Tamandua tetradactyla: one gene and its partners. The protein of the gene in region 3 interacts with the protein of the main gene of each other region in a pairwise test. Links are inferred from orthologs where the notes say so. Each region holds a gene or a part of one and is shown on either strand. Other genes may lie near its edges.

What was found.
Region 1: the proteins of MPPED2 (region 3) and CAGE1 interact in binary tests that used the Homo sapiens proteins (3 or more experiments, as listed by UniProt). The two-hybrid records come from large-scale screens. The link is inferred for Tamandua tetradactyla from reciprocal best matches to the Homo sapiens genes MPPED2 and CAGE1.
Region 2: the proteins of MPPED2 (region 3) and RXRG interact in binary tests that used the Homo sapiens proteins (3 or more experiments, as listed by UniProt). The two-hybrid records come from large-scale screens. The link is inferred for Tamandua tetradactyla from reciprocal best matches to the Homo sapiens genes MPPED2 and RXRG.

The regions. Positions count from the first base shown.
Region 1 is NC_135351.1:10,025,414-10,035,436, reverse strand, and holds the start of CAGE1 (cancer-associated gene 1 protein), read left to right. Parts: upstream 1-5,577; 5' UTR 5,578-5,707; exon of another isoform or gene 5,708-5,789; 5' UTR 5,790-6,125; intron 6,126-7,906; 5' UTR 7,907-8,000; coding exon 8,001-8,108; intron 8,109-10,023. Other genes in the region: RIOK1 (serine/threonine-protein kinase RIO1), read right to left, coding at 2,759-2,987, 5,305-5,375.
Region 2 is NC_135330.1:18,710,246-18,720,304, forward strand, and holds the start of RXRG (retinoic acid receptor RXR-gamma), read right to left. Parts: upstream 4,742-10,059; 5' UTR 4,433-4,741; coding exon 4,384-4,432; intron 1-4,383. UniProt on the Homo sapiens protein: Receptor for retinoic acid. Retinoic acid receptors bind as heterodimers to their target response elements in response to their ligands, all-trans or 9-cis retinoic acid, and regulate gene expression in various biological processes.
Region 3 is NC_135334.1:106,455,278-106,465,548, reverse strand, and holds the start of MPPED2 (metallophosphoesterase MPPED2), read left to right. Parts: upstream 1-6,351; 5' UTR 6,352-6,459; intron 6,460-7,191; exon of another isoform or gene 7,192-7,280; intron 7,281-10,271. UniProt on the Homo sapiens protein: Displays low metallophosphoesterase activity (in vitro). May play a role in the development of the nervous system.

The DNA of each region.
Region 1 (10,023 bases), on a different chromosome or scaffold from region 3:
AGACTCAATCAATCAAGTCTGAACAAGAAATATAAAATAAATGAAGTTATTGGCTAGAAAAAAAGCCTGCATAATGTGGATTTTTTAACTGTAATACAGTCTTCCCTGTTACAAATAATTAAAACTAAATACAGTTTTCTAATTTGAATGGTTTATAGATATAAAACTTGAGAATGTTCACTGATCCCCAAAGTATATAATAAAAAGCTAAGACCAACATTAGACTGGTTCTAAGAATTTCCTTTTGGGCTGAGTACCTCAAGAAAGGTAAAGAATGGTAATGAGGCTTCAGCACTAAGACTGTGGTACGCACAAACATAAATGGTGACAAAAACAAAGACAACATCTAAAACCCCAAAAGTATAGATAAAAAGGGCCTATAACAATGATGGATTCAATTTTGTAAACTAGCATGGTACTGAGTTTTTTATTTGTATAATACTTTAAAAAATATCTATTAAATTTAACTTTTTTTTTCTTTTTGGTGCATGGTCTGGGAATTGAACCCGGGTCTCCTGCATGAAAGACGAGCATTCTACCACTGAACCACCCGTGCACCCTAAATTTAACTTGTAAAGTAAGTTTTTATTAATGTATTCATGGTAGAAAACTAAGGTAAAATTTTTTTCAATCACTTATAGCCTTTTTTTTTTTAGAGCTCTTTAAGAATTATTTTTATTAATTTGCTATTATCATCTGGAAGTATAAAAATTTATATTGAACAAGGAAACACAAATAGAAAGTTAGCCACAAAAAAAAACCAGAAACAGAAATACACTTTTGAAAGGGACAATGAAATGTTTGAATATTCTTCATCCCATTTCTGCTATCATTTGCAGAACAATTCTAACTGTAATACAGTGTTCCTTCCTATAGAACTACTTTCAGGGCACTTCTTTCATGAACCTAAATTATATTGAGACCAGATTGAGTTACAGAATAAACTATTTTTGGTTGTTTTTCTTCATAAGCTTATAACTAAAATCTTTCCAGTTTTTTCAAAATATAGTGCAAAAAATTATATTCAGGAATCACCTATAGCCTTTTTTTAAATAAACTTATTTTAAAAATATTTTTATTGAGAAATATCCACACACATGCAGTCCAACCATATTATACAATCAATGACTCACAATATCATTACGTAGTTGTGTATTCTTTGCCATATCATTTTTTTTTTTTTTAAATACATGGGCAGGCACCGGGAATTGAACCCGGGTCCTCTGGCATGGCAGGCAAGCATTCTTACCTGCTGAGCCACCGTGACCCACCCTGTCATATCATTTTTAAAACATCTGCATCACTCCAGAAAAGGAAAAAAAACCTCATGCATCCCATACCCCTTCCCCCTTCCTCCCGTTGACCCACAGTATTTCAATCTACCCAGTCTTTACCCTTTATCTCCCCCCATTATTTATTTATCCTTATTCTTCTTATTATTATTTTACTCATCTGTCCATACCCTGGATAAAGGAGCATCAGACACAAGATTTTCACAGTCACACAGTAAAAGCTATATAGCTATACAGTCTTCCTCAAGAATCAAGGCTATCAAAACACAGTTCAGTAGTTTCAGGTACTTCCCTCTAGCCACTTCTTTTTTTTTTTTTTTTTTTCAATCACCTATAGTCTTGACATCCAAAGATAATAGTTAATATTTAAGCAATATACTTCCAGGTTTTTTTTTCCAGGCTCTTTCTTAAGGGATTATATATACTCCATGCCAAAACTAATCAAAGTTTTACCAATAAATCAATTAAGGGGTTACCAAAAAAAGACCAGAAGTATGTGTAATTTCTTCAGTTATTTAAAAAATTCATGCATTCTACTCCATAATATAGCTCTATTTTAACAATAAAGAATATTGCTGGCTTTTTCCCCCCTCCATCTTTCAAAATCCTTTATATTTCAGGAAGACACCCTTATCAATCCTATGACTGCACACAATAGACACACACAGTACTTTCAATTTGAGATACAGGCATGATTTATAGTTTGGTAACTTATCTCCTGTACATGGTAGAAGAAGGTTGATCATGAACATATTTCCTCCATGTCATTAAATAATCTTTCCTTGCAATATATCTTATGGACATATAATACTCCATTGTGTGAATAAGCAGTTCAATAGCAAATTTAACCAGTTTGCCACTGTGGGGAAATTAGTTTGTTTCCAATGTTTCTCTACCATAAACAATACTAATACTGGACGATCATTCTAGTAAATAAAGTCTTGGCACACCACTAGAGGAATTCTGTGTGAAAGGATTTGTATGCTTTTAAAGCTTTTATCATATCATGCCGATTTATCCTCCAAATAATTGTACTTATTTACCTGACCATCAATTATATATTTTGTCACTGTTTATTTCATAAATGAAAAAATGGTATTCCTAAACATTTAATTTTCATTTCTTTACTTGAACTTTTCCTCCATGTTTCTTAACCTTTTGTAGTAAACTGTCTATATTTGTGGCCTTTTTTATGATGATTTTTAAGCTCATAAATTCACGACACCTTAAATAACTCCTTTAAAATTAACTGATTTTGGAAAGACTGGACCTACGAAATTATCAGAAATACAGAAAAGATAAAGAATGAATATCAATAAAGGAAAAGGCTGGGACCACAGAACAATATAAACTGGGAAGAATATTTCAATTACTTAATTTCAGAACCACGTCCATGAGGAGGACTTTTAACAAAAAGACAGCATAAGCAGAGAACTTAAAGACATGTAGGATCACTTATAAAATACCTGTGGGTTATTCCTTCCATTGGAGGGATAACCTTTTGTGAGTTTTCCAACTCCATCATCCCAGTCCCAATCATCATCATCATCATCATCATCATCATCATCATCATCATCACAGGCCTCTTTCTCCTCTTCAATCTCATCTTCACCCGCCTTCTCATTCACATTATTTTGAAGGTTTTCAAAGAGAATGCCATCTTCCTTTTTGATTGTCCTCATGTCTCTGTTTTCACTAGAAATAACAATGTTCTAGAATGTTTACAAATATTTTAAGTGGACTCACAATCCACATATATATTTACTTACTACATAACAGACCATATTGTATACAGATAAATCTAAAAGATTCCCTTACAGCATATCTCCCAATAAGCTCAATCCTCTCAACAGAAGAAGTTTCTCCAGTTTTTCAAAGTTCTGCTGCAGTTCTTTGCTTACTCTCCATGCCCAAGTTCCACTAGGGAATAAGTGCATCAGTTGTTAAGCCCCTTCTACCTTAATGAAGTTAGACTTATATTGTCATCTTCCCTACTGAATGAACCGACTCTTATTAGTACCGAATTATCTGACTAAGAAAATCACCTACAGAACTGCTTTAACAGAAAAGTTTTTAAGTCGAGAATAAATCTCAGGCAGATTTACCTTGAACTCAACTCCACCATGCAACAAAAGGGCTGTATCAGGATTTAGTATATTACACAGAACTCCAAATCACTCTTGCTCATATAAAAGGGAGGGAATGGTGAATGCAGAGGACTAGCTTTAAGACATAAAGAGAAATGGGGATTGTCAAACTGAGAGAAAGTGAGAGAATGGCCCAGGGTAAGTTTATCACTTGATGTGAACTTTCAGATCCAGTAGCAGATGAGAATGTTTTGCAGCATCCCTGGCCTGGTCTACCACCAAATGGCAGTAGCACCTGTCCCTATACCTTCATGAGTTATGACAACTAAAAATGTCTCCAGAGATTACCAATAGTCCTTTAGGAGCAAAACCACTTCCAGCGGAGAAGCCCTGGCTTATCCTCACCATACCCCATGATGGATGGTAAACCAGCCCACTTTCCTTAACATTAACTGGTCACTCTTGTTTCTTCTTCCCTAAGGCCTTTTGTATGCTTATCTGTAAACATAAATGGGGAATGCCCTTCCCATTTCTCTGGCTAAGCCCTATTCATCCTTCCATCGTCATCAGACTATCATTTGTTCAGGGAATTGTTCCCTTTTCACCACCCATTTCTCCTTTGTAGTGCTTATCTAATTCTAACACAAATTATTTTGTCTAATTATTCAATGTTTCCCCTGCCACAGCATAAGCTCTGTGACATCCAGGACAAAGTCTGTTTTATTTACCAATGTTTTCCTATGACCTAACACCAGATCTGGCACATAGAAAAACGATCAACATTCATTTATTGAAAATTCCCCAATCGGTTAATAAACTCTACAAATTTTTAATGAGCCAATATGAATCCTTACTGCAAACTAAGTAAAAACTGTTTTCTTGGGATTTTCTTGGAATTTCAAAATAATTCTGTTTCTCTTTCCTCACACCCCACATCCAATTTATGATCAAACCATATAATTTCCACGAACAAAACATACCTCTATGGCCCTGATTCTAGCTCTCATCATCTATGAATGAGATTACTCTTTTTGAACTCACCTCTCTGCTTCCACTCTTACCCTCCATTATCACCATCTAAAGGGCAGACAATTCCTTCAAATCATAAATCAAATCACATCCTCCCCCTGCTAAAAGCCCTCCTACTGCTTTCTATGAGATGTCGAATAATATCTACACTCCTCATCATCACTTGCAAGGCTCTACATGACCTGGCCCCTTCTCACCCCTTTAAAATCACCTCCCAATCCTCCTAACTACCTTCCCCGTGTTCTAGGTACACTGGTCTCTTGTTCTTTCACAGCCAACAGGGACCCCGCCTCTGGACCTTCGCATTTTCTGTCTCCTCTGCCTGAAATGCTGTTCCCTCAGCTGTTCCCGTGGTTAGCGTCTTCTGGTCTTCTAAATCTGGGCTGGGTTCTTTCCGACCGACCAGTCAGTCATTATTTAGTATATCACCCTTTCTCACTTCTTCGCATAGTATATATTATCTGATTTAAAAAAAACTTTGCCTGCCCCTCACCCAGGCAAAAGGCAAAGTTCCACGACAGCAGCAGCTTGGTTTGTCTTGTTCATCACTACCTCCAGCGCGGAGGAGGGGACGTGGCACACAGTAGGTGCTGAAAGGTAACGCGCAAAAACCTTTGTTCCCCAATCCTTATCCCCACCTCTACCCCTCGGTAAGCTTATACAACTAATAGGAAACCCTGGACCCCGGTGGCCACTGGCTGCCACTGACCCTGCGTAAACTGGGACGAAAGACCCCAGCTGAGGGAGGGGGGAGGAAGCAAAAGACTGATAAGCGAGACGCTGAGCCATGAATTACCAGTCTCCCCTAGACCACTACTAAAATGTCAACTCCCGCAAGAGGTCGGAGGAGGAGAGAGCAGATTCCGGATAAAGTCGATGTCCTCAACGGCCTTCACCTGTCGGAGGAATCCGCGTCGTCAAACTGCCCAGGGACCGCCCGGCTCATCAGCAGCCGCCGGTAGTCCATGGCGCAAGCGCGGTAGGCCCCTAGCGCCACCGAAGGATCGCGCGGGGAGGGGAACCGCACAGACACGGTTTTACCCGCCGCCGATGGAGCAGCGTCTCCGCAGATCCCTAACTCTCCAACAGCTCAGAAGCCCGTACGCCAACAGCCCCCGCCACGTGCGGTGAGCGGAATAGACCAACGGTTCTCAGCGAATCCCGGCCCCGCCCAAACCGGAAGCCCGGTCCCGCCCCAACCGGAAGCTCGGTCCCGACAGGAAGCCCCACCTACCCAGGAAGTACCACTCAGAAGTCCCTCCCCTGCGCCGGGAACGTGTGTGAGGCCCTCTCCCGACAGTACGCAGGGGAAACGCTGCGGGGCGTGTATCCGTTTGTCTCGGGGCGGTTCAGTCAGCACCTCGCTTTGTGTTTCTTCTAGGTAAAGGTTTCGACAGGTAGTCCACACGCTGTTCAGTCGCAACCGCATAGCTTCAGAACGCCTGGCACGGAGATGCCGAAGTTCCCCATGCCGCCGCCCGGGGCTGCGGTGAGGGCGTCGGAATGTGACTGGCATCTTTAACCGCCCAGATTGGCTGCATTCGAGCCGACGTCATAGCCGGGTGGTTCCAAGTTGTCTGGATCTCAGCTGCGAGCTTTAAAAAGCCGTCTGTGGAAAAGTTTGAAAAGCGTTCTTCTTCCTGCCACGGAGCACGGTGCGGAGGGAGGAAGCACGAAATCCCTATTGTAGACCCAAGAAACTCAATGGAGCCTGAAAGTGAGCACACTTTGCGTCTTAAAAAGTTTGGTGCATTGCGTTGAGATGAAAATGAGACAAGTGCTTTAAGAAGTTAAAGCTGTTATATGACTGAAGAAAAATTGTTAAGCAAAATCTTAGAATTTTTGCGAGTATCTCCACTGACACCTCTTCTAAAGCCTATTTAAAGAGAATGTTAGTGTGTGGAATATCTAGCCAAATATTTTTAAAATCCAACTTTAAGGAACTTTAATCTAACTTTATGTAAGGACATAAATAGAAGATGTATAGCTGACCATAAAATGTGGCGGGTTGTGCAGTGCCATATAAGCGTTGAATAAAGTTGTAGAAGTGCAATTTGAAGTTCTGGTTCGCACACAAAAAAAAATAAGACATAAAGCCTTTGTCTTTTTCTGTGTTTGGTAAATAACGCAAGGAGTTTTCCAGGTCCCATTCCCCACGACTCAGGCAACATTTCCGTATTTGCAAGATAGGGAAAGGTTGGTCATGAAGTTGGCCTTTTTGCCAATCCTGACTAGCTTGCTTGGCTCATTAGCTTTTTTTTTTTCTCCATTAACTTTTATACTTTACCAAATAATTCCATGGTTTTCAAAATAGTTAACGCAGTTCGAGTAACTAATTCAGGCAAATGGGTAGTGCCTGCCAGCTTTTTTAAAGGGTTTAACATAAATATATAATTGAAATGCAATATGTTGTTGATATTTACAGCTTGAACAGCCCAGATCTATTTGTTGTAAATGGTATTGAAAAACAATGAATTTCTCATATGATGCTTATAATCTATGAATACAAGTTCTAATACACCTGAAACAGTGGTGAAAGCTCTGGAACAGAAAACAAATAGGTGCTGAATTGAGAGACTCAAATTTAGAATCTGAGGACATCCTAGGAGTTCAAAGAAATAGATGAATAAAACTAGGGAAAGTTTTGGGAAAGAGAAGCACATGCTGCAGCAAATTTTTGAGGTGGGAAGGAGCATGATCTATGTGCAGGGTAGTGAGCCTCATCTGGCTAGAGCAAGGGAGAAGTGAGTAGGAAATGTAAGTCCAAATTATGAAATTATGAAAGGCCTAGATAGTTGAGCAGAAGAATCTGGTCTTAGTTTGGTTGGTCATCATTTCCATACTAACAGTGCTTCAGTTGGACATCCAGACTTAGGTCTTCTGGCATACCTGAGGAGATCACCAGAACATGAAACAGTGTGATAACATGAAGGATGGAAAGTAAACATGGGCCGTGAAGAAATTTAAAGGAGAAATTAATAGGACTTGATAACTGAGAAGCCTGGTTGCTGGGGTAGAGATGCCAAGAAAACATCAAACCTAAGTACCTAAGAAAATAAGTGTGATGTAGGATAGTGAGGAAAATAGATGTGATGTTGAATAGTGGATTTCACTTGAGATTGAGGTGTTTGAATAGGAGGTATCAATTACATAGAAATATAGTGTCTTATGGAACCTAATAGGTCTCCGATAATATTCTGTAAAGAACCTTTGATTAAGTAACTCAGAGATCCCGTTTTCTTCTGTGTCTAAGCCTTTTAGGGAATTGGATAGTAACTACACATATTGACTTGTTTTTGTCCAAATCAATATCACCAAAGTAACCATGGGACACTCAGACTAAACCATGGTACACTATTAATCTGTCTAAATAACTTAACAAATGACCTTTTAAAGTTTAGGACAGTGAACTTTGCTATCTTCCTACTGTGAAAAAGAATGGAAAAATAACTTTGTTTACATATACTAATAGGCATTAAAATTATGTTTTTTAAAAAGGTTTCCATCATTCAACATTCAAGAGCAAGAACTATCAAAAATTTTGACCATCGTCCATTCTGATGTGAATACTTCTCATGAAAAATTACAAAGCATGTCAGAAGCAGATGCCATGAATATCAGTAATCTTTCTCAAGACTTAACTCACTCAGATTCTCCGTTCTGTATGGAAACCAGCAGTACCACTTCAGATTTGCCTCAGGTGTGCATTGCTCCTAAATTCTGAGGGGCGTGGGGTGGGAAAGAGTACAGTTGTAGTCACCATTCACATTGTCTTCCACGGGAAAATTTCTTCAAACGTATAAGAAGCAATGAAAAGCTCTCCAGTGGAGCCGTAGAGGGAAAATATGAAAAGTGGAATTTTTCAGGCAGTGTTTTAAAATCATCAGCCTCGTCATGAAGTCCCAAGAGGGCAGCCAGGGGACATATCCACAGCAGTCAGAGAAGCAGGATGAAAGCCAGAGGGGCCTAATGCCTGGTTCAGTACATCTTCCACTGTATCAGTATGCTTCACATGTCATTCATACTGATGATGATAGCACCCTGCATTTAGATGACATCATCCCTATCTTTATGAAAATTGCTTAGTGCCTTTTCTCACAAAATAAATGATTTTCATGTCCCATGGTCTTCGGGCATGTTCTTCTGTTTAATAGAATGAGAGGAATGTGTTAGGTCATGCCATATGTTATCTTTTTGTAGGTCAAAAATGGACAGATTGACAGTTTCATATTCATAGGTTCACATTCATAGGTTCAAAGTATTGGCATAACCTTTCTAAAGAGCTGTTTAGTAATGTATAGGAGATTAAGAATTTAATTGTGCTTTAAAAAAAATTCATTTAGCTATTCTGCCTCTAGGAAATATAGAAATGAGGATGGTTACAGAACTATCGTAATAACTGAACATTGGAAACAACCTAAATTTTCATCAGGAATGGGCTAGTTAAATTGTGGTACAGATGTACAGTGGCCATATAACCTTAAATATAATAATGCAGATACGTACTTGTTTGCATGGAAAAATGATCACATTGGTTCTCACTGATAGTGGTTTTTTTAGTTTATCTTTTTTTTTTTTTTACAATGTTCAGGATTCTTTTTATAATTATAAAAATCTATTTTCATTTTGATAAAAAACATGGCCATAATATTTTTTTCAAGAGTAAACCTTTATTTTCATAACTTTTATGACATTTCATTTTTAACATTTAACTTAATACTCTTTAAATTTTTTATTGTATAATATAACATACATACAAAGCAAAGAAAGAAAAAAGTGATGGTTTTCAAGGCACTCTTCAACAAGTAGTTACAGGACACATCCCAGAGTGTGTCATGGGCTACCATACCATCATCTCAGATTTTTCCTTCTAGCTGCTCCAGAACATTGGAGGCTAGAAGGAATAAATATGTTTTTATCATCACAGTCGACTTTTTTTTTTTCTTCTTTTGTGAAAAATAACATATATACAAAAGAGCAATAAATTTCAAAGGACAGTGCAACAATTAGTTGTAGACCAGATTTCAGAGTTTGGTATAGGTTACAGTTCCAGTTTTAGGTTTTTATTTCTCACTGCTCTAAGATACTGGAGACTAAAAGAAACATCAATGTAATGACTGAACAATCATACTCGTTTGTTAAACCCAACCTTCTCTGTGTAACTCTACCATCACTTTGATCTCTCCCGCTCTTCAGGAGTATTTGGGTTATGGCTGTCAATAATACAGGGTAGGGAGATGAAACTAGCTGATGTTCTGGAGAGGCTGGCCACTCTAGGTTTCAGGGCCTATCTGGTCCACGGACCCATCTGAAAGTTACTCTAGTAAATGGAACCTTTGTAGAATCTTATGTATTGCTCTAGGTGTTCTTTAAATTGGCTGGAATGGTTTTGGTTGGGGTTTGGCAAGTTATGGTAGGTAACGATGTCTAACTGAAGTTTGCATTAAGAGTGGCTATTGGAATAGCCTCTTGACTCTATTTGAGCTCTTTCAGCCACTGATAATTAGTTAGTTACACTTTTTTTCTCCTTTTTGGTCAGGATGGAATTGTTGATCCCAGTCAACAACTGGGCCAGACTCATCCCTGGGAGTCATCTCCTATGTTGCCAGGGAGAA
Region 2 (10,059 bases), on a different chromosome or scaffold from region 3:
GCCATTCTAGAAAATAAACTTCTTGCACTCCCTGGGCCACTATATCTTGTACTTCCAAATGGGGAGTGGGAGAAAATACTAGCTTCCCTTAGGAGTCCCTGGCATCTCAGTCACCCAACTGTGGTGGCTAAGTTCTTTGCAGATACACAAGCTACCTAGTGAGGGGAAAGAAGACATGGAGAATTTAGACTACTCTTTGCACTATTTCTTTCCCCAGTTGCTATTCAGCTTTCTATCTCTTGGTAAGATTGTAAATGTTTCAGAAGTTAGTTTATACTAAGGATGTTCCTTCCTAAATCTTGTAAACAGTTATTCCGTCCTACATAAACTCTAACCACTTACACCCATGGTAGGTCCTAACCACCCGCACATCTGTGGAGGGAAAAAAATATGTGCTGGCACACTCACATATACACTCACACATCCTCCTCCCACACCCATACACACACACTCCCTCCCACATATACACAAGCATATGTACCACCCATGAGCGCACACACATACACACACCTCTCCTATAAACACACACACGTACATAGATATCCCTGACACCCCCCCATACACACGCACATTTACACACATACACACGCACATGAGCCCTTCCAACTCAATCCCCCATCTGTAGCTATTCTTAGGTGAAAAGGGGAGTTTTCTACCTGCACGGTAAGAGTCAGTGGGGCAGGACTCTTGCATGTCAGTAGAACCTGGGAGGGGCCACCTTTAGTGCTAAGAGATCATGCTTCCAAGGTAACTTACTTTATTCCTCAATGGCCAGGTCGTTGTTTCTGCAACCACTGGGCAGCGCTAAGACTGGATTTCCAAGGCTGGATTGGGTTCCTCTCTCCCATTTGGGGTGTGCTGCTGCCACGAGCTTTGCAGAACAAAACTCTCTCTTACAGTAGCCTTGAGAGGCAGCCCGGCAAAGCATGGACTGAAGCCAAACTGCCTGGGTTAAATCCTTGGCTTTGGCGTTTTCTAGTAGTGGGACCGCAAACAAGTGACTTCACCTTTCATTGCCTTAGACTTCTCATTTATAAAGTAGTAGGACAATGATGGCAGTACCTACACATAGGCTTGTGATGCGCATGGAATAAGGCGATATTGGGAAGTGCTTACAATGGCCAGGGCTGGCACTTAGTGTCACAGCATGTTTGCTAAATGAAACGAGAGCAGCCCTCTCTCTTCCTGACCTCCTTCTTACCCTGAGGATTACTGCACAATTGGATGGGGGATTACAGGCTTTGCTCTGCCATCTTCTTATAGGCAGCAACTGTCTCTTCCCAGGAAAAACAAATCTCTTACTGAGCAGCTGGCAAACCCCGGACTTGGCAGAGAACGAGAAGAGAAAGTTCTCTCATCAACACGGATGCACGGCGGGGCTGGGAGGGGAGAGTGGTCGCCTTTATGGGACCCTCTGCCCCCAGGGCAGGCCCCAATCTGACGGGTCCCTTATACATGGACTGGAATGATGGCTTGTCATCTGATGAGCACAGTCTCAGACATAAATCCCAGGTGTGATTTCCAAAGGGTGCCATTGATTCCCTAGAGATTCTCACACACATCGCAGGAGCCCTCTGTGGTCTCATTTGATAGTACATAAAAGGGTAAGGGATTCTACAAGCAATCATGCAATGAGTGCGGTGCAATTTGCCATGCTGGGGCGAAGTCAGCTGGAGGCTGCAGGTGAAGTCCACGCTGGCTCTCAGGTTTTCCCCAGTGCCTGCGAAGGCCCCTTCCTCCTTCCCTGCTCCCTCCCATTGCGAGTTCCCCTGTCCAGGGGGGCAGGGTCCTGGGTCAAAGTGTTCCAGCCTCCTCTTAACCAGTGCATGCAAACAAAATGGAGAACATCAACAGAACTAAATAAAATAATTGTTTTCCTCCCTCAGGAATGACAGGGAAAGTAACATTAGAGAGAGACACTTAACCAATCTGGATGACCCTTTCCCCTCATGTTCCCCAGCTTCTATAGACTATTTTCTTCCACAATGTCCAGCTGCACCATAGCACTTGCTTCTGTATGAAATCTAATTATGCTAAATACTAGAGCTTCTACAATTATGGAAATCCAAACAAGCAAAATATGTGGGTTTTCATGGATTTAAACTTGCTTTCCCAGGTTCCTAATTCATTATTCTACAGTAATATCAGGTTTTTAAATTAATTTCCATGTTAGTATCTGAGCAAAACGGAGGGGATAAAAATAGTAAATTTCATTTATATGGAATGCACTATAGTAGCTACATTTTCATGAGCTAGCTCTTTCAAGTCTCACAATACTGTGAGGATGGGTGTATACACCCAATTTTAGACAAAAAAAAAGAAAGAAAAAAACAAACAAATAAAATGAGGCTCAGAAAGGTTCAGTGTCTTGCCCAAAGTCACACAGCTGGTACTTGAAAAGCTGAGACCTAAACTCAGCTAACTTACTCCATCTCTCCTTCTCTGTCTGTCCCTCTCATCATGCTCTTTTCACTATAACAGATTAAAATAACACTTTTATAAATCTAGTATTTTATAAATCTAGGAGTTCTTTGGGAAAGCTCTATCATTCAACCCACACCTTTGGACTGGTCCCTGCCTTCCTTTAGGGCTGAGTTTACACATCCAACGTGCTCTTTAAGGTCCCTTAGGGAACTGACATTCCACGATTCCAGCAGGCAGCCCCCATGGAATTTTGGATTAGACCCTCTTTCTACAATCTCTTCCTGAGCTCTCTACATAAACCTTTCCACCTTCAATCCTTTAATTTACCTGATCTGTCTCAAAGAGTCTTCTCTGCATTAATGAAGTCATGCCCTCCCAGAGGTTTGGGAGACCTGGGAATCTGGCTTAGGATAAGCATGTTTCTCAGGCAACTGAACTCAGAGGGAAAGGAATAAATGATTCTCAGCTCTGTGAATGGAGTCAAGAAGGCTTTTCACACCCGGGGCCCAACTTTGAATTGAAGATCCAATGTCCAGGTCACAGCATTGGCCACCGCACTCACTCGGTCATGCCACCAGACTGGCCCAAATCTTAAACATTCCCTCTTCCAGGACCCTTCCCGCGGGCCCCGCCCCTGTGAGCAAGCAGCTCCCTCCTTCCTTGTGTCTCCCATATAGCACGCACCATGCAGTTTAACAAGCCTAGCCTGGTCCACAAAGGCAGGGACTGTGTCTCATTCATATTTGTCTTCCAAGCACCTAACACCCCGCTTAGCTCGTAAAAACTGCTCCATGAACCTTGAATGAATGAGCAAACCACCCAGCCTGTAGTCTCCTGGGCAGGCACCACATCCACCTTGCATGTTGCACCACCCACAGGGTGCTCTGCCCAGCAGAGTGGGCAACCTTTACTCCCCAGGCTTCAGATGAATTGGCTATCTGTCCCCCAAGGAAGTCAGGAAAGCACAGACTTTTCAGTTCTCAAGACCTTACTAGAATTTCCGCTTTGCCCTGCCTGCTGGCTTCCACAGGGCAAAAGCTCTCCTTTGGCTCCCAGGAGCATAAGCTACATGCCACCAACTGACAAGTGAGAGGCCAGCTGGTCAGCTGGTTGCTCCACTTACTCAAAGCTGGGCGAGTGTTTGTGCTGATTCTGTCACTGCATCCAGGGATCCTTGGGACAGACGTGTCTGGGCAGTAAGGCAGCCTGCGGGCCCATTGCCGGAAGCCTCTCTGAAGTTGGACGGGGCTGCCCTGCCTGCCTTGACAACTTGGATCTTCAATTTGCAGGTTCTCTGTTATGAGAGCCCAGACCCACCCCCGCCCCCTAGATCCCGACCCCCAGAGTGGAAGTCATGACTGTGATCCTTGCCAGGAAATTTGGGGCAGCAGCAGGGAGGGGAGAAGAGGCTATTAGCAAATCAAAAGGGAAGAAAACAGAAGAAGGAAAACAAGGTGGCAAATTAAAGTGCTATGTTTTCTTGTACAAAAAAAATCCAATTATAGAGAAATCTTCTTTAAAATAAAACAAATCATGCCCCTGTTGCAAAATATTCCAGGGACTCTTAATAAAGGCAAAACCTTTTTTAATCCAATTTTTTCTCATTACAAGTTGGATAATAGTCATATCATCCCAATTTCTCCTTAACTCTCCCACTTTTCATGCCCGCACAAACACACTGGGTTGTAACAATGGTCTTATTCTATCTTTGTCTCAGACATTCTCAAGCTTGCTGGTTTAGGCACTTAGAATATCCCTATATCCTCTCATCTGTTCACTCATTCTGATATGCAAACATATCCTCATCTACAGAGCACGCTCACACTGAAACACACTATAGATGCAGATAAACATATGCGGTCTCCTAAATCAATACCCATCCGCTTATCCGTATTCCCCGATTGCCACTCAGCTTCCTCCGGGCAGGTCTTCTCAGTAAAGTCCAAGTGAGCTACTTACCGCCAAAGCCTGTGGGAAACTTCATGAAGTGAGAATAATTTCCATACATGTTTACTCCTCAGTTCATATTTCTCTCCTGTGCGTCTTCGAAGTATTACAGCCTCTCCCAGCTCCGAAGCAAAGCCGGGCTTTCTTCAACTTGAGCTAACAAGAGTGGTCATTGCTTCCTAGCAGCCCCAGGAGCACAGGCTGGGCCAGCCCTCCGGGATTAGTCAGGAATCCGCCTCTACATCTGAGAGTCCACATAGTGCGTTTGAGACGGCGGTGGCAGCAGCAGCTGGTGCCTGTCAGTAATCACGCATAATGCTGATGCCGCCGCCGCCGCTCCTCCTGCCAGCGCCACCGCTGCTGCTCGAGATCCTGTTGCTAGTTTGATTAACTCAGGGCTGGGCTGCTGCGTGCGACTTCCAGCTCCCGGCTCATCCCCAGAGGTCCCCACCGGTGGCACGATCTATTATCTCGGAAGCCAATCGATGTATGACCGCCCCGGAGTAGGTCAGCAGAGCGAGGGAGATGGCAGGGGATGGAAGAGTCTTTAGGTACCTTTCTTTCCCTTGACTTGTACCCACAAAAAAAATCAATGGGGTTTTATTAAAATGCATTTTCTCACTCCAGCTTCTATCTATCCAGTGCACTTGGCGTTTGATCTGTGAAAGGGGTTGGGGGTGGGGGCCAAGAAAGAACAGAGCTCTTTCATGAGTGCAAGAATATAAAAACGTGAGGCTCCACCACCAGCCATGGAAGACTAAAATAGAGTGACCCTCATATTTGGGTGGGTCTCTTTTAATATAGTGGCTGGAAGCATTTGGCTGTGCCCTAACAGTGGAAGCCTGACAAGTGCATTTGGAAGCTAGAAGTCACTCACATGGAAAATTTACAGGTAGGAAGGAGGTTTGGGCCTGACCCTGACACTCACCGGAGGGACACTTTCACTTTATATACATGGTCATTAAGTCGTCTGTTTTAAAAGCACCCCTGGTCTTCACAGACACAAAGACTCTTTGGGTAAAACCAACCCAGAGATCAAAGAGTCTAACCACCCCTTTGATGTCTGGGTCTGTTATACTGCTTTCCTACTAAATCACTGGTCAGCCGGTTCTTGAATACTTCGGATAACGGGGAGCTCACTACTGTTCCATTTCATCTCTGAACAGCATTTACTATAAGAAAGTTTTTACTGAGCTGAAATCTGCCTCTTCTCTCTACGGCTTCTACACCCTGGAGCCACACAAGGGAAGCCTGTGGGATCTTTCATAGTAGGGTCTTCTGCAAATCCTGAGCAAAATCTCCTATACCCACAGGCTCCTCATCTTTAGGCCTCTTAGTTCCTTCTGTCATTCCATGTGTCATAGCACATTCCAGTCTATCCACAACTTATCTAGTACCCATGAATGTACTTCAGTTTACCTAAACATCCTCATGGTAAGGGGAGGTAGCGGTCAGACCTGAATACCAGGGGAACCCAGAATACAAACTAAGAATAAAGATACAGAGGCAGGAACAAAGTGAGGATGAAAAGGAGGCGGGGACCAAGGTGGGCGCCAGAGCAAGAGCAGTTGGGAAAGATCCAAGGCATCTCTTGGAAGGGACTGAGGACACCCAGGGCTCCCTAGGTCGGTTGCTGGGCTCTCAGAGCATGGGCAAGGCGAGGGTGGTGTGACCTGTGCAGGACACAGTGGGCCATTTGCTCACTTGCGGTAGCTGGTGGGTAGCCCCACCTGTCATTTCCTGTGGAATTAACTTGACAACGCTCCCCTAACTGTTCTTTTTCATACATGCTCCTCATTGCATTTTTGGGCAATTGGTTTGGGGGCCTGCTTATAATATTCTTATATTCTTCCGAACTGAAAACTTTTAGGATTCCTTCATCATCCCTGATCTTTGGGGATCCTGCTCTGTTATCCAGTGTATTTCTTATTCCTCTCCTTTCCCCATTTCATAACTTCTGAAGAGCTGTTGATCGGCTTTCTGTTTTTTATCTGTCTGATAAAAGTATTGAAAAGGGCTTAGCAAGAGTGACATCTTATAGCATGCCACTAGGAAGTCCATTCATTATGTGCCTTTAACTCTGACTAGATACAAAGCCTAAAGAGCCCATATCTATAAAGAAAACACCAGCTCAGGAGCCAACCTTTCTATGTACAAATCACAGTTCCTTTGCTTACAGCCTTGTGATATTGACAAGTTACTGAATCTCTCTGAGCCTCAGTTACCTCATAGGTTTATCATGAGGATTAAATGTGTCAACATATGTTGATTGTTTAGAATATGGCAGATACATGGTAAATATTCAATATTTACTTTGAAAGCTATATTTATGATGATGGTGGCAGTGGTGATGCAACCTTAAGCAAGTCATGTTGCCTCTCGTTTCCTTTTTCTCATTGCTAAAATGATGCAGCAGGGCTAGATACGTTTGAATAGCCCCTTCAACTTTAAAATACAATGCAAACTAAATCCATGATCCATTCAGTAATTGTCCATTTTCTCCGCAGAGATATGTGAAGCAAGTGCCTTACTAAAGTACAAGCTACATTTTTCAGTCCGTCAAGTATACCCGTCAGAGAAGGAAGGGAATCATTCCTACACAACACATTCCTCTTTGGTGAACTCATGCTGGCAAGAGTTCTTGTAGTACTCAAGAGCCTTCCTTTAGGGGCGCATGGGTGGTCCCATGGTAGAATATTCACCTGCCATGTGGAAGACCCAGGTTCTATTCCTGACCCTAGCTCCCCCACTCCCCCCCCCCCAAAAAAAAGCCACCCTTTAAAAAAAACACTCTAGAACCTTGTCCAAGGTCAACGTACAGGTGATCTGTAGTTTGTGGTAGACTACCTTTTTATCCCTCTTGCTAAGTTAAGTACAATGCCTACTTCTTTTCCTCCCAAAATAAAGTCCAAACTCCTTAACCTGGTGTAGAAAGGACATCATCCCCATATGTCTCAACTCAATTTCCAAGTTTAGGGTAGAGGAAAGTGCCCTGTGAGGTCATCACCAGGGCCAGGTCATGTACAGCCCTGCTGCTCTCCAGCCGTGTGACCCTGGACAAGCTTGTTTAACCTTGGGGGAAAATGCCCACGCTGCCGGCCCTCTACTGAGATTTCTGGGTCTTTTTGTTTGCGTTTTGTGGATCATTTGTAATGCAAGTATGGCACCCTGGCTTTCTATACAAGTACAAGGAATTAATATTTTCTTTCCTCCCTTTCTCTGAATATCCCCTCTGGTCTGGATGTTTCAGTCACTGTGAGAGCACGATGTGTTCATTCTAACTTCTGGTTCCTTGTTCAAGCCTGGTTTACCTTCTCCCAACTGTCAGAATTTTAACTCGCATGTAAGTTCCAGCTCAGTTCCCACCAGGCCCACGATTATCCCCAGAGAGCTCCCCTAGCCTAAGTCTGACAAAACCTACTGTCCAGTGTGTTCAGATGACACTCAACTAGTGTGGCTTTGTGGCACCCCCCAATACAATGGAGCTGAAGCATTTACCTATCCTTTGAGTATGTGTTCTCTTCATTACATGATTGTTAACTCTTCAGAGACAGTGTTCATGTCTTTGTTTTCCCCCACAATAGATGCTCAATAAATCTTTTTTGCATTAAAAAAGGATTGATATGCTTATAATACACAAAAAACACCCCAGCCTCTTTCCCTGTGATGACTTCCATATGGTTTAACACCCCATAACGAACCATAAACATTTGCCTACAGTTCAAGAAAAATGAATATGGCTTTTCTTTCACATCCACATTTTTTTCCTTGGCACCGCCGTGTCTTTTCTAAGAGCACTATTGATATAACAAGATTATTGAAACCGTCTGGTATTTCTAAGCCCTTCTTGGACAAGCCACCAACTTCAGTCATTCCAATGTCTCCAGCTGTTACTAAATTCCCATTAGGATGTCAAGTAAAAGAACAAATGCCCACTTTCTATGGTGGGAACCTGCTAATTCATTCATAGGGATTCTGGGCTTACTCCTTGTCAATGCTGAGTATCTATTCCTCTTCCATAGGTTTGCTTCTATTAAAGTCCTTACTGGCTTTAAGTGAATGAAAAGAGCAAGAGTTTTCACTAGTGTATTTGAAAAGACTCAGCAAATAATATCTTACAGTTGCCCTGGTGTTCAAAGGATGTGGCCTTGCCTTTTGTCTTGATTTCTTTCTTTCTGTTTTTGACCAATGATCATAGAAAATGATCATTCTATATCTCTGTAACAGATACAGAATGAAAAACCAAATTCATTTATTTGACAATTGACAATAGACATTAACAATAAAATTTAGATGCAAATGCCCCTAAAGCTGCTACTATGGTTTAATATTGTTATGTTTGTGTAGTGCTTTACCTACATAACAGTATATTGAGTTACGGTATGCTATCCCACAGAGCAGTTTTTATTATCTCAATTTCATAAATGAGAAATTTGAGACCAAAGCTGTGAAACCAGAGAAGGAAAGAGAGTTACTCTAACAAACTGGGTTTTGGATGAAGTCTCACTACTAGTAGACACGAGTATAAAACCTAGGACCCTGACCTGGACTCCCAGCCTATGTATCTTTCACCAGATCATGATTCCTCGCTCATTAATGATATATTTTTATTAAATGTGTGTGTGTGCATTTCTATATATTGTTTTCCCTCTTTGTTGTCCCTCCTTCATTCATTTATCTTTCAGCCAACGTGTATTGAGAGCTTATTATCTGCCAATCACTGGAGCTAAACTAGGGAATGAGATGAAGAGATCCTGACCTCATGGAGCTTTGCAGTATGATGGAAGAGAAATATTAAAGAGTCACAGACATAAATATGTCATCATAAACTATGATAAGTGCAGTGAAGGGAAATAATTGGATCTATGAAAGACTATAGCAGGAGAATCTAATTTAAATAGAAAGGTCAGGACAGACCTCCTTTGAGGAAATGACAAGTACACTCAGATCTAAAGGGTGAGTAGGTTTCAGTCTGGAGAAGAAAGGAGGAGGTTGGGGAGGATGCACCAGGCAGCGGAAACAGTAGAGCTAATGGTGCTGAGGTGGGAACATCCTCCATGCATTCAGGAGGCTACCGTGTTAGATGGTATGGCCTCCAAGAGTTCATTGCTCCATTGTCTCACCCAGCATCCCGTGTTTCACCTGTCATATCACCTTTGAACTCTGCACAACTGGAAAACCTCTGTTCCTTGCTTTGTCTCCCTTTTACAAGCTAGTCACACTCATGTGACTCACCATTTTCCAACGGTGTCCTCTAGTAATCCACTTTCACGTGTGTATTCACTTTGCCCCTCTGCTTATAATAGCCTCCCCTCCTTATGCTCTCAGCTGAAATGCCACCAGTTCCTCCAAGCAATTCTCATGGGGCCTTCTAGGTGGCCCTGTGGCTAGACTATTCTCTCCCTCCTTAAGACCCCCATAGTCTGTGGTTGGCAACGTTCTTGTGTCATGAAACATGTTCCTCCATGTACTATTATCATGAATGCATCTGAAAAAAATTTCTTCCTAGACAGCAAACCCTAAATTTCTGGAAAATGAGTCAGATTTATTTTTGTAGCCTCTACAAACTTTATAACAGAATCTAGCACATATTAGGAACCCAGTAAATAGGTGATACATGAACGGATAAAAGTTTGTTGATTATGCCGAGAGCTCCTGAGGTCAACAACAGGACACTGGACATGATGG
Region 3 (10,271 bases):
TTTTTATTAGAGTACTAGTAGGTTTACAGAGAAAATCATGCAGAAAGTACACACTCCCAAACCCTCCTCACACACACAGTTTTTGAAGTGAGTGCTTTTAATATCTTTTTTTTTTTTTTTTACAAATGAGAAAACTAAGACACAGGGAGATAGTTTAAGTGACTTCCCCAAAGTCACATTGTTAGTAAGAGGTAGAGACGGGATTCAAATCCTCTTCCACTTTCAATCACTATATTATACTCCCTCTTAATTGCATTCCTAATCTTATTCCATTTTTGTAAAATATATTTGACTGAAACACTTTATACCAAAATATTAACAGTGGATATTTCTGAATGATGGCATCATAGTTGGTTTTTAATTTCTTCATTTTGCTTTTCTCTGTGTTTTTCAATATTTCCGAAAACAGTGACTAGAATACTCTTGAGAAAGAAAAAGATATTTTGAAATTTCCTACTACACTGAGTTCAAAATAGTGATTTTGATGTAGTGTTGTGATTTTTTAAACTATCTTCCAGTAAACTTTACTTTAATTTTATGCATCCAGTAAAACCAAGGGCTAGTCAACTGCTCCCTTGTGTGCTTGTTAAGCACCCTTATAATATGACATGGGATATTAATATAAGGGACTACAGTCTTTTGGGGATGGAACCGAAATAGCACCAAACAACTTTGAAGAAAAACAGAAATACGTTTACCTGCGGTATTTATATTACATGTGAAATAAGAACAAGTGCATAGGTAGGCGAAAAACAGGTGTGAGTCTTTGAATGGGGATAAAGTTTTAGGATCCGTGGGTTCCAACAAAATTAGATTAGTGACACTTTATGACATTGTTGTGTTTAGTGCTGCAGTTCTTTGTGAAAAGGTGAGATTCCAAAAGCTGTGTGTATTGGATAGAATAGAGATGACTTGGAGATTTAGGAATGCTGGATTGTGAGTTGTATTTAAGAAAGGAAGTCATTAAGTGATTATGACTCTCAGGCTGTCTGGCTAAGGAGGACTATACCTCTGACCTGCATTTCACAATTCTGCTACACTTTGTTTTTATTATGTAAAATGTATTCAAGCCTCTTGAATCAGCATCTAAGTCCCTCGGGTCTCCCCGTTTTCCAAAACTCTCCTGATGAAGGGTACCATTGCCTCTTCCCTAAGACAGCAATAGCTCCCCAGTGACCTCCCAATGTTCACTCTAGCCCCCTAAAATCCATTCTCCACGCTGGGGGAAAGAGTGCCCTTTTCAAAACACAAATCTCATCATGTTACCCTTTCTACTTAAGATCCTTAAACACATTCCCATTGCCTGCAGGATAAGTCAAGCATCTTGAACAGGGCCTTAGCTGTGACCTTCAAATCTCTCTAACATGGCTCTACAGTTCTGGCCTCTGTTTACAAGATCAGATTCGGACCCCTCTCCCACCATGCAATTCCTTACAGCCCCAGCCACACTACTTCAGGTTTTCCTATGACCACCTTATAATCCTTTCCTCCATCTGGGAAGCCTTCACTCAACCCCAAGGTCTCACTAGTTTATGTTTCCTTTGTACCAGGTGCCTCTCCTTTTCACAGATATAATTTCCATCTATTTGTGCAGCTACTCAAAGTTAGTTTCTCAATATCCTCAGATCATGAGAATGAACTACATGTTTTTTTGCATCATTAGACCATCAGCATGGTATAATAAGTATGGTGTCTGACACAGAGCTAAGCTTAAAACATATCTGTTGAACAATCAAACTATTACATTAATTATATAGTAAGAAGTGGATTTTAGAGTCTACTGGTCTCTCAAACTCAATTTTTAAAAATTGTATTAGCTCATTTATTTTTGTTGAGAAGGAAAATTACATTATATATTACTCAAAATATTAATATACTTTATGCTGTCTTTTCAAATTGAATGATTAAACTTAAAATCCCCCACAAGCCTTTTATTTAATAAGGTTATCATGGATTTTCCACTGACCATCTTTCCAAAGAGATTACTTCCACCAGGGCAAGCCTCTCCCAGTACCACCAACTTCTATAACTTTTTCAAAATTGAAACCTTGACGTGGGGACAGAATGAGCAAAATCAATATATAACAGAGATCAGGTGAGTCTGTTAGGATGGACATTAAAACTGAAAACACACTAACCCATGCTTGCCAACTTATTCCAACTTTAAAAATAATTACTGTATAAAAATAATACTTATCTGATGTATTGATCTATGTAGACATTGACTAGTAAGTTTGGTAAGAATTAACGTGAGTTTTGCAAAATATTAAGATTTCTATCTCTCCCATGCTTATTATTTAAGGTCCTTGCGAAGCTGGATTAAATTAAGCTTTTCTAAGATAATGTCTATAAATTTATTTTATTAAATAAAATTTCATGTCTTCTAGAGTGAAGTTCCTGAATCTTTCTATGCACAGGCATATTTATTAGTTAATTAAAAGGAAATTTAAATACAAAGGACATATAAACATAATTTATATGGTTATATTGAGGATTTCCAAAAGGATCTATCAAAGAATCAGGTTAATTATACATACACACACATACACACACACACACACACACACACACACACACACACATATATATATACACATTATTTTTAGTATATATCTTGGTACATTATCCCTCTAAATCTTAAGGTACAAATTTTACCCCGTATCCTTTTTTCTGGGATCCTTTTACGCTGTATTTCCAAAAAGGGCTGCCTTTAAATGGGCATGGTTCATAAAAAATCTTAAGTTTTTCTATGAAAAAATTAATTCCTGAATGCATATTTCTTATGCATTAGTTCATGTTTCTAAAGACATTAGTAAATACTTTAAAATATACTATTTTAACTACATGGGAAGTGCTTAGCTCTTATCCTCCAAAACTGGCCTCCTATCCTCACTTCCTTTCTAGCATACCTGGTGTGGATTTTCTTTCATTGCCTATTTGACTCATTCTTACTTGCATTCTCTCATTTACCCTCTCATTTATCAACCCATATAGTCATTGAACAAGTATTTCCAAGCTCCTACTATGTGCAAAGGACATAAGCATGGGGGCACAAAGGATTAAAGAGCATAATTCTTATACTGGAGAAGCTAAAAAGTAAGCGCTTTCAACAAGTAAAGAAAATGCAAAAACTGTAGGAATTCAGAATAAAGGAAAGGTGTTTATTGGCTCAGGTTTTTTCCTAATTGCATCATAACGGTAATTCTATCAAGAGGTTCTGATTTCTGAAAATACACATCTTAGCCTTGCTGGAAAATGATAAAACACAAGTTAAAGGAAAATAGTTACTGCTTGTTCCTAGAGATAGACTGCTGCATATAATTTCAAAGAAATTCAACGAAAGACGATAATTTCAATGGAATTTTTTGGTGACGAAGAACCACAGGATTGAACCAAGTTTTAAGTTATAAACATGTCCTGATGTATTGGAAATCCCATTTTCAAAGGGAGGATGAAAGCTAACTCCAAATAAAGTATTGAGCTTGCGAGGGAAGCAGCATTTATTTTCCAAGCTTCCTCCCAGGCTCCTCTAAGTTCTCCCAGACTCCCTTTTCATTTTCTTCACTAAATGCATTCTGAAAGAGATACTTTAAAAAGTATTGCAGTGAGCTATCTGGAATCATATTTGCCAGTTCCTTCAACGACATCACTGGAGAAAGCGTTCAGCTTTACATTCCATTAAAAGCAAACAATCTGTAATATTTGCATAGAGAAAACAGTAAACTTGCCATTTGATTTTTGTACTTCTTTTGTTTTCCATTTTAAACAATAAAAGTTAAATTTAACAAAAAAAAAGAAAAAAGAAAAACAGAACTTGTAGGCTCACTTAATAAGAACAACAAAAGCCCCAGCTTATAGCATTTTAAATATAGTATAATGAAGTTACGTTTCAAAGCAGATGTTAGGAGACAGATAGTGTTCATTTCCAGTCATTTAAAAGTGAGCTTTTAGCGTTGGTAGCTATACTGATGTAGAATAGACTCAACAGAATGCAGTATGTTCAAATCCACATAATGAGGATGAGTTCCTTTTGTTCCTGATTTATTATTTAAATTCACTTACATTTCTCCACCTTCTTTGTTTTAACAGCCTAATGGAAATATAAATTCATAACCCAAATACTGCCAGGTTACTATTTCTCCCAGTAGATAATTGATCCAAGAAAGGATCTTTCTTTCATCACCAGTTCTAATTTTAAGTTTTAATTTTTTTGCCTCAGTTTTTCCTCACTTGTAAAACAGTATAGAAATTTTCATCAGCTTCGTAACAGTTCACTTGACTTTTTAAAACATGAATTACAGCATAATATTTGCAACAAAAGCATTATTATTTATTGTGTGCAGATATTTAGATTCGGAATCATGTACAAAGTAGTTTGGCTGCTTTGATTAACTATCAGTTAGTTAAAAAATAAAAAGGAAGAAAGCAAGCCACAAAAACGATCAGGCTGATGATAATTTTTTTGACTGATTTAATTAATCAGACCAAATTAGTCTACAAAAATTAAACCATATAGATAAGAGGAGTGTACTCCTAACTCATACAGTAAGGGTAGCAAAGCCATATATTTCTTCAAAAACATGATTCCAGTCAGGGCTTGTTGCCTGGTTGGAAAAACAAAAGGAGACAAAATATAAAGGTGCCAGCCCCCACCGCCCTATCTTTGACATCCTTTAATGTCTCTTGCTGTGATTTGTGCTGAACAAGGAAAAGTCATTGGCCTCTCAATCCCAACATATTTGACAAGTACTGATGCTCTGAGCATGCTGTACAATAAAATAAATACATTAATAAGGCCATTTCCCCTTTCATTTCAGCCCAGGCATAAGAGATAGGTTACTTAAAATTCAAGTGCCAGGAAAGCCCATTGTAAAAGGGAAATATTTTCAAGTGAATTCCGTTTGATCTTTTTTTATAGGGACTCCTACCAGCCTCTCTCCCTTCCTCCCTAGACCCTGGAAACCAATTAGTTTCAGCACAGAGGCCACAGACCAGGTTGAAATGACTCCTTTTTATTTTTAGGGGATATAATTTCAGCCAGGATGTCTAGTCAGTTGTCACATAGTGTACTTAGCACACTTCTCTGCCTCTCACACACACATACATTGGATTTCCCTCCAGAGAATGCCTAGATCTTTGAGTCTGGCTCCTGGAAAGGAATTAGATCTGGTTGTCGTCCAAATCCTTCAGCTCTGACAATGGCATAACATCACAGGGCCACCTCATCTTTCACAGACAGCCCCGCCACCAAGTTTCCTAAAAGCCTCCACTTCCTTGTCTTCCTCTTCTAGCATTTCAACAGCTTTTCCATTCCTTATGTTGTTTGCATACAATTCGGAAAAGCTTTTCTTCCATTTTGCAAAGTAGCAGATCAAACCAGACTAACTTTGATTTTAAAAATGTTTTTGAAGTGCTTAGCTTTTGGGGAAAACTACGTGTCCAAAGGACAAAAATGGAGACAATTAAGAGTCTTTGCCTTTCTTCACCTTCCAAGCCTGAACCTGCCTTAATTCATGGAGGTGAAAAAAATTATCAGCAGGGTTGGCCTTTTCTTTCCCAGGAACAACACTGCAAAGAGAAAGAGGGGTGTGTGTGTGTGTGTCTGGCTCTCCCCCCCTGGAAAGTCTCAATTCAGCAGATGGGAGAGGACCTGGGGTCGCCTTCCATGGTCTGAGCACAGTGCCCGAGCCACTCTCCTTGCCACCACCGCCGACTCTGAGCCTTGGAGCGGTGCCAAGACTCCTGACAGCGCCTGGCAGGCAGGTCGGTGGGTGGGAGTGGGGGTGGGGGTCCGGGTTCGCTTTGCAGAAGACGCCCCTTTGGAGGGAGAACCCTTTTATTTTCATGGAGCCCCGCAACTTCCCCTAGCCCCCGCCCATCATTTTTACGCTGATCCTACTCATGATGATGAACTTGCAGCTTAGCTTCCTGCCGCCTGCTTGACCCGGGCGCACCGGCAGGCGGTTCGCCTCGCCCTCAGAAACCTCCTCCTGCTGCAACCTCGGGGCCTCCGGGCGCCGGTGGGGGTTCGAGGCGGCTGGGGCTGCAGGAGGGGCGCGCGGGGGCGCGGGGTCCCGCAGGGGAGCGCGCACGGAGCGGCGCCTCGGCCGCCCTGCTTCCTGGAGCTGTGCTCCTTTGACCCCAGTGGCAGTCCCTGTCACTGCACCGCTCGCGCTCCCTTCGGCTCGCCGCGCCCTCGCTCCCTCTCCTCGCCCCCCTCGCTCGTTCTCTCCCCTGATCGAGGCTGCTCCCGTCCTCTTTCCCCCACCTCCCTCTCGCGCCGCGGCCCCGGACCCCCGCCCCAGCCCGCGGCGGGACCTCCCGGGTCGAAGGTTCTGGCCTGCCCGCGCCCCGCGCCGCCCCCGCGCGCCCCCCGCCGGCTCGGGCCGCTCAGCGATGGATCGCCTGCTCGCCGGGCGTTGAAGGCATCCCCGGGACCCGGAGCGCAGCCCGGGAAAGGTAATCCGCCCCGGGAAGGGAGGCGGAGGGAGGGGGAAGGGGAGGAGGCGACCGGGCTCCCGGTGCCGAGCGCGAGAGGAAGGGGAAAAAAAAATGCACACACAAAGCGGAGCCAGGGTGAGAGGTGCCTTGTCAGAGACGCGTGCGGAGGGCTCGGAGGCTGCAGAACGCGGCTGCCCCGATGCCCCTGACATTCGCAACAGCAGGCGCCTCCGGGGCAATTCGGTGGCGCGCCGGGACCCGGAGAGGGTTTATTTTCAATCCCCCCACCCCGAACGAAATTATATTTTAGGAGCTGTCTTCCCTCCCACTCCCCATCTTGCCCCTGTTCTCTTTTCCCCTCCCCCCCAGACCTTCGCCCACCCCCCCTCCACCCCGACCTCTCGGGGTCCCCACCTCACCGCCCCTTTCTCTGCCGAGATTTTTTTTTCAGGAGGGGAGAGGGGGAGCGGTTGTTGGCAAGAAGCAGAGACGAAAGCCCGGCGGCGGGGATGGGGGTGGGGACGAGGGCTCGGCGAGCTGTTTACTAGAAAGTCTCAGGGTTATGTGTTCGAGCCGCCCCGGCCTAGGCCCGGGCGCATTGTGTTGGCCCGAGCCCCGGGCGCCCGCGGCTGCCCGAGGCGAGGTGCGGTGCCGGGGAAGGCGCCGCGCAGCTTTGTGCTGGGGCTGCTCCCCGCGGCCGCCCCCCGGCCGCCTGCGCGCGCGCCGCTCCGGCGCGGAGCTTTTTCTCACCCTGTCCCCGCGCTCCAACCTCGCTCTCCGCCGCCGCCTCGGGTCTCCGCGAACGCAGCCTGCAGAGCGGGCCGACGACCCGAGCTGGGGCCACGGCTGGGCGGTGGGGCAGGAGGAGCGAGCAAAAGTAACCGATGCCGCCCGGTTTCTCCTATACCGAGGCGGGAGTTTCTCTGCTATTTACGAGTAACAGGGTTATCTTTGTAAAGCCTCTGAATTACGGGGTTTTGCGGCCTAGGAGGTGAAGGGGGCATTTGTCTGGAGATTGGGGAGGGGTGGAGTTGAAATCCATTAGCCAGAAGAGAAATTAAGGATGCCCCAGTGGGAATGATTTATTGCACTCTTCCCCCCTCCCCCGACATACCACTCCGAATTAAGTGCAAATGCGGGTCATGAAAAAAATGTGTAATTGATTTGAGATGCTGCGAACAAATAAACACAAACAGGTCAGAGCCAACAAACAACCAAAACTTTAAGCGAAAGAATATTTCCAAAAGGGGAGGGGGCGGTGGTGGGTCCGTGGCCTCCACACCCCTTTCTAACGCTTTCCGGCTCCCTCCGGTCCTGTCCCCGCCACTCGGGGGAAGGAACCTGGTAGCTTCGGGGCAGAGAGCTGGGAAAGCGCAGAGGCTCCGGGCTCGGGCTCCGCTCCGTGGGTTCGGGGGATGTCGACGCGCCCGGGAGGCTGACGTCGGGAACGTGGGACTGTGATGCCCGAACGAGGATGGCGAGGTGTCAGAGCCATTGGCCGCCGGTGGTCATCAATCATTCCGGGGCTGGGGGACAGGGAGAGAAAGAAAGACAAGCGCCCAGCGGAGCTCTGGGCAGCGAGCGCCAGGGCCGGCAGTGCCAGCGGCGGCGACTGCAGCGGAGGTGACGGGCGGCAACCGGGGCCCGAGCGAGTTAAGGCGAGGTGGTGCTCCGGGAAGGAAGGGGGAGCTGTGGCCGGGACGAACCGGCCGTGAGCTGGGAGGGCGAGGCGAGTGTGTGTGTGTGTGTGTGTGTGTGTGTGTGCTTTAGCCCCCCTCCCCCAGATTTGAAACAAACAAACCAATCCAAAGTAGAGAATTCCGCGCCCCCCGCCCCACCATATATAGACTCCACATGTTGCCGGAGGCACAGGAGAAAAGTCTTGCCCTCCCTCTCCGAAAGAATGTGCCAGCCGGGTGTCCGCAGTGCTGGAGACAAGTTCAGGTGTAAGTGCGGCGGGAGGGAGGGCGCTCTGTGGACAGAGGCACGTGGGATTTGGTGAGCGCATCCTCGGAAAACCCTGGCGGAGAAGCCGCAGGGAAGGCGTGTGGGCACCGCTCCGGGATGCAGGGCTGAGTGCGTGGAGGTGGGCAAAATAAAATAGGGGGCGTGAGTTGAGGACATACTCGATCAATGCGGCAGAGGCAGGAGAGAGCGGCATCCGAGGGAGCGGGAACAGGCGGGCTCCAAAAGTTCTTCCAAACTTTTTGGCGGATCTTCTTGGGGCAAGTGATTAAAATGAGCATCCTCGTTTAAAATAGGAAATCGCGGGCTCCTTTCTCATAGGCCATGTCATGTGGTATACGGGTAGAGCGTTAGTTGTTGCTTTGAAACTTTTAGTAAATTGGACTTTTAGTACCGAGGAGGTGGAGACAGTTATTTTATTCCTCAGCTTTTAATCCCTTCATTGCCAGTCGACTTTAAAAGGTTTTCCAGCTTGATTCCTGGAAAAGAACATTGCTAGTTGCACAACTTAAGGGATAGAAATGATTGCTGTCTAGGAAATGCAGAATGTACTCACATGATTTTTATTATTATTATTTTTAACAAGAAAATCAGACTAGCACTAGCATGAATGCTTGGTAGTGTCGTTCCCTTTTAGATTCTTCTTTAGGCTTCTTGGCATTTAGTACTGTGTTGCTTTGTTTCCTGGAGTAAGTGTGTTAAAGTATAAAATGGAAAGAAGAAAGTACTGCTCTCTTAACTCTTTAAATATTGTACGTAAAAAGAAATAGAAGTATGGCCATGGTGAGATGTTCCAAGACTTGACCATTTGAAAGATGATTTACTAACCTAAATGTGTGAAGCAAGGTGATGTCTCTTTTTGGTAGTTTTAGGCAGTGTGCCTTTCTCTTTTGCTTTTTCCAAATTTCTGAGGTTAAGAGGAGGTGACTATTTGCCATCGTGTCCTATCCTTAGAGTTTACCAGTAGAGCGGTTTTGTTCGTGTGTGCGTGTTTAATATTCTTAGGCTATAGTCATCTTGAGATGCAGGAGGAGGTCAACATAGCATTTTTAAAAATAAGCCTTTTCTTGGCTTGTCTGTAAAGGTGCCTCTGAAAGTTTTGAAGCTCTCTGCCTCAGTCTGACATTTTCTTCAAAGGGCTCCAGACTAAAGAAGATAGGCGCTGCAGGTGCACTATTTCGATAAAACATTTGAAAGAGAACGTGGTAAAGATGAATTCAAATGAGATGCCAGCCACCCATTTAGCTCTTCAGAGTTAGAGGGGCCTGTGCTTGCTGATGAAAAGATGTTCCGTTTGTCTTGATGGGGCAAAGGTGCAAAAAAGGCACAGATGTTCTCTTGATAGAAAAGTATGTTTATGGGTTGACTTTAGGTTAGAATGGATATTTAGGAAAAGGAATTGATTGTGTTCTCCTTGCCTTCAAATGGGAACACTTGTGAGGAGGGCAGATATAAAGCTAACAACTGTAAGTTAGTGCATAGATATTAAACTATAGATATGTATATTTTATTTCAAGCTTCACTTAGCTCAGTTTAATTAGTGAGTTTACTCCAGACATATTTAAAACTGTTCCTGGTACCCCGTGCAGAGAGACTGTTACTCACAGGTCACAGTGCACTAGACATGAATTTGGTTTCCTTTGCTTCTCAGTGTTCTATATTTCACACAATAGACACTGATGGTAGGAACGTAAGAATTGCCATGTAATTTTTACACCACTCTCTAATTTATGCAAACACTAAGTTCTTGTAGTCTGATAATGTGTATTTTTTTTCTTCCTCTGTGCTTTGATGGCTAACATTCTTTTTAATGACAGTCATTTCTACAACAGGAAGATGTTTTCATTTGTATTTACTTTTCAGTG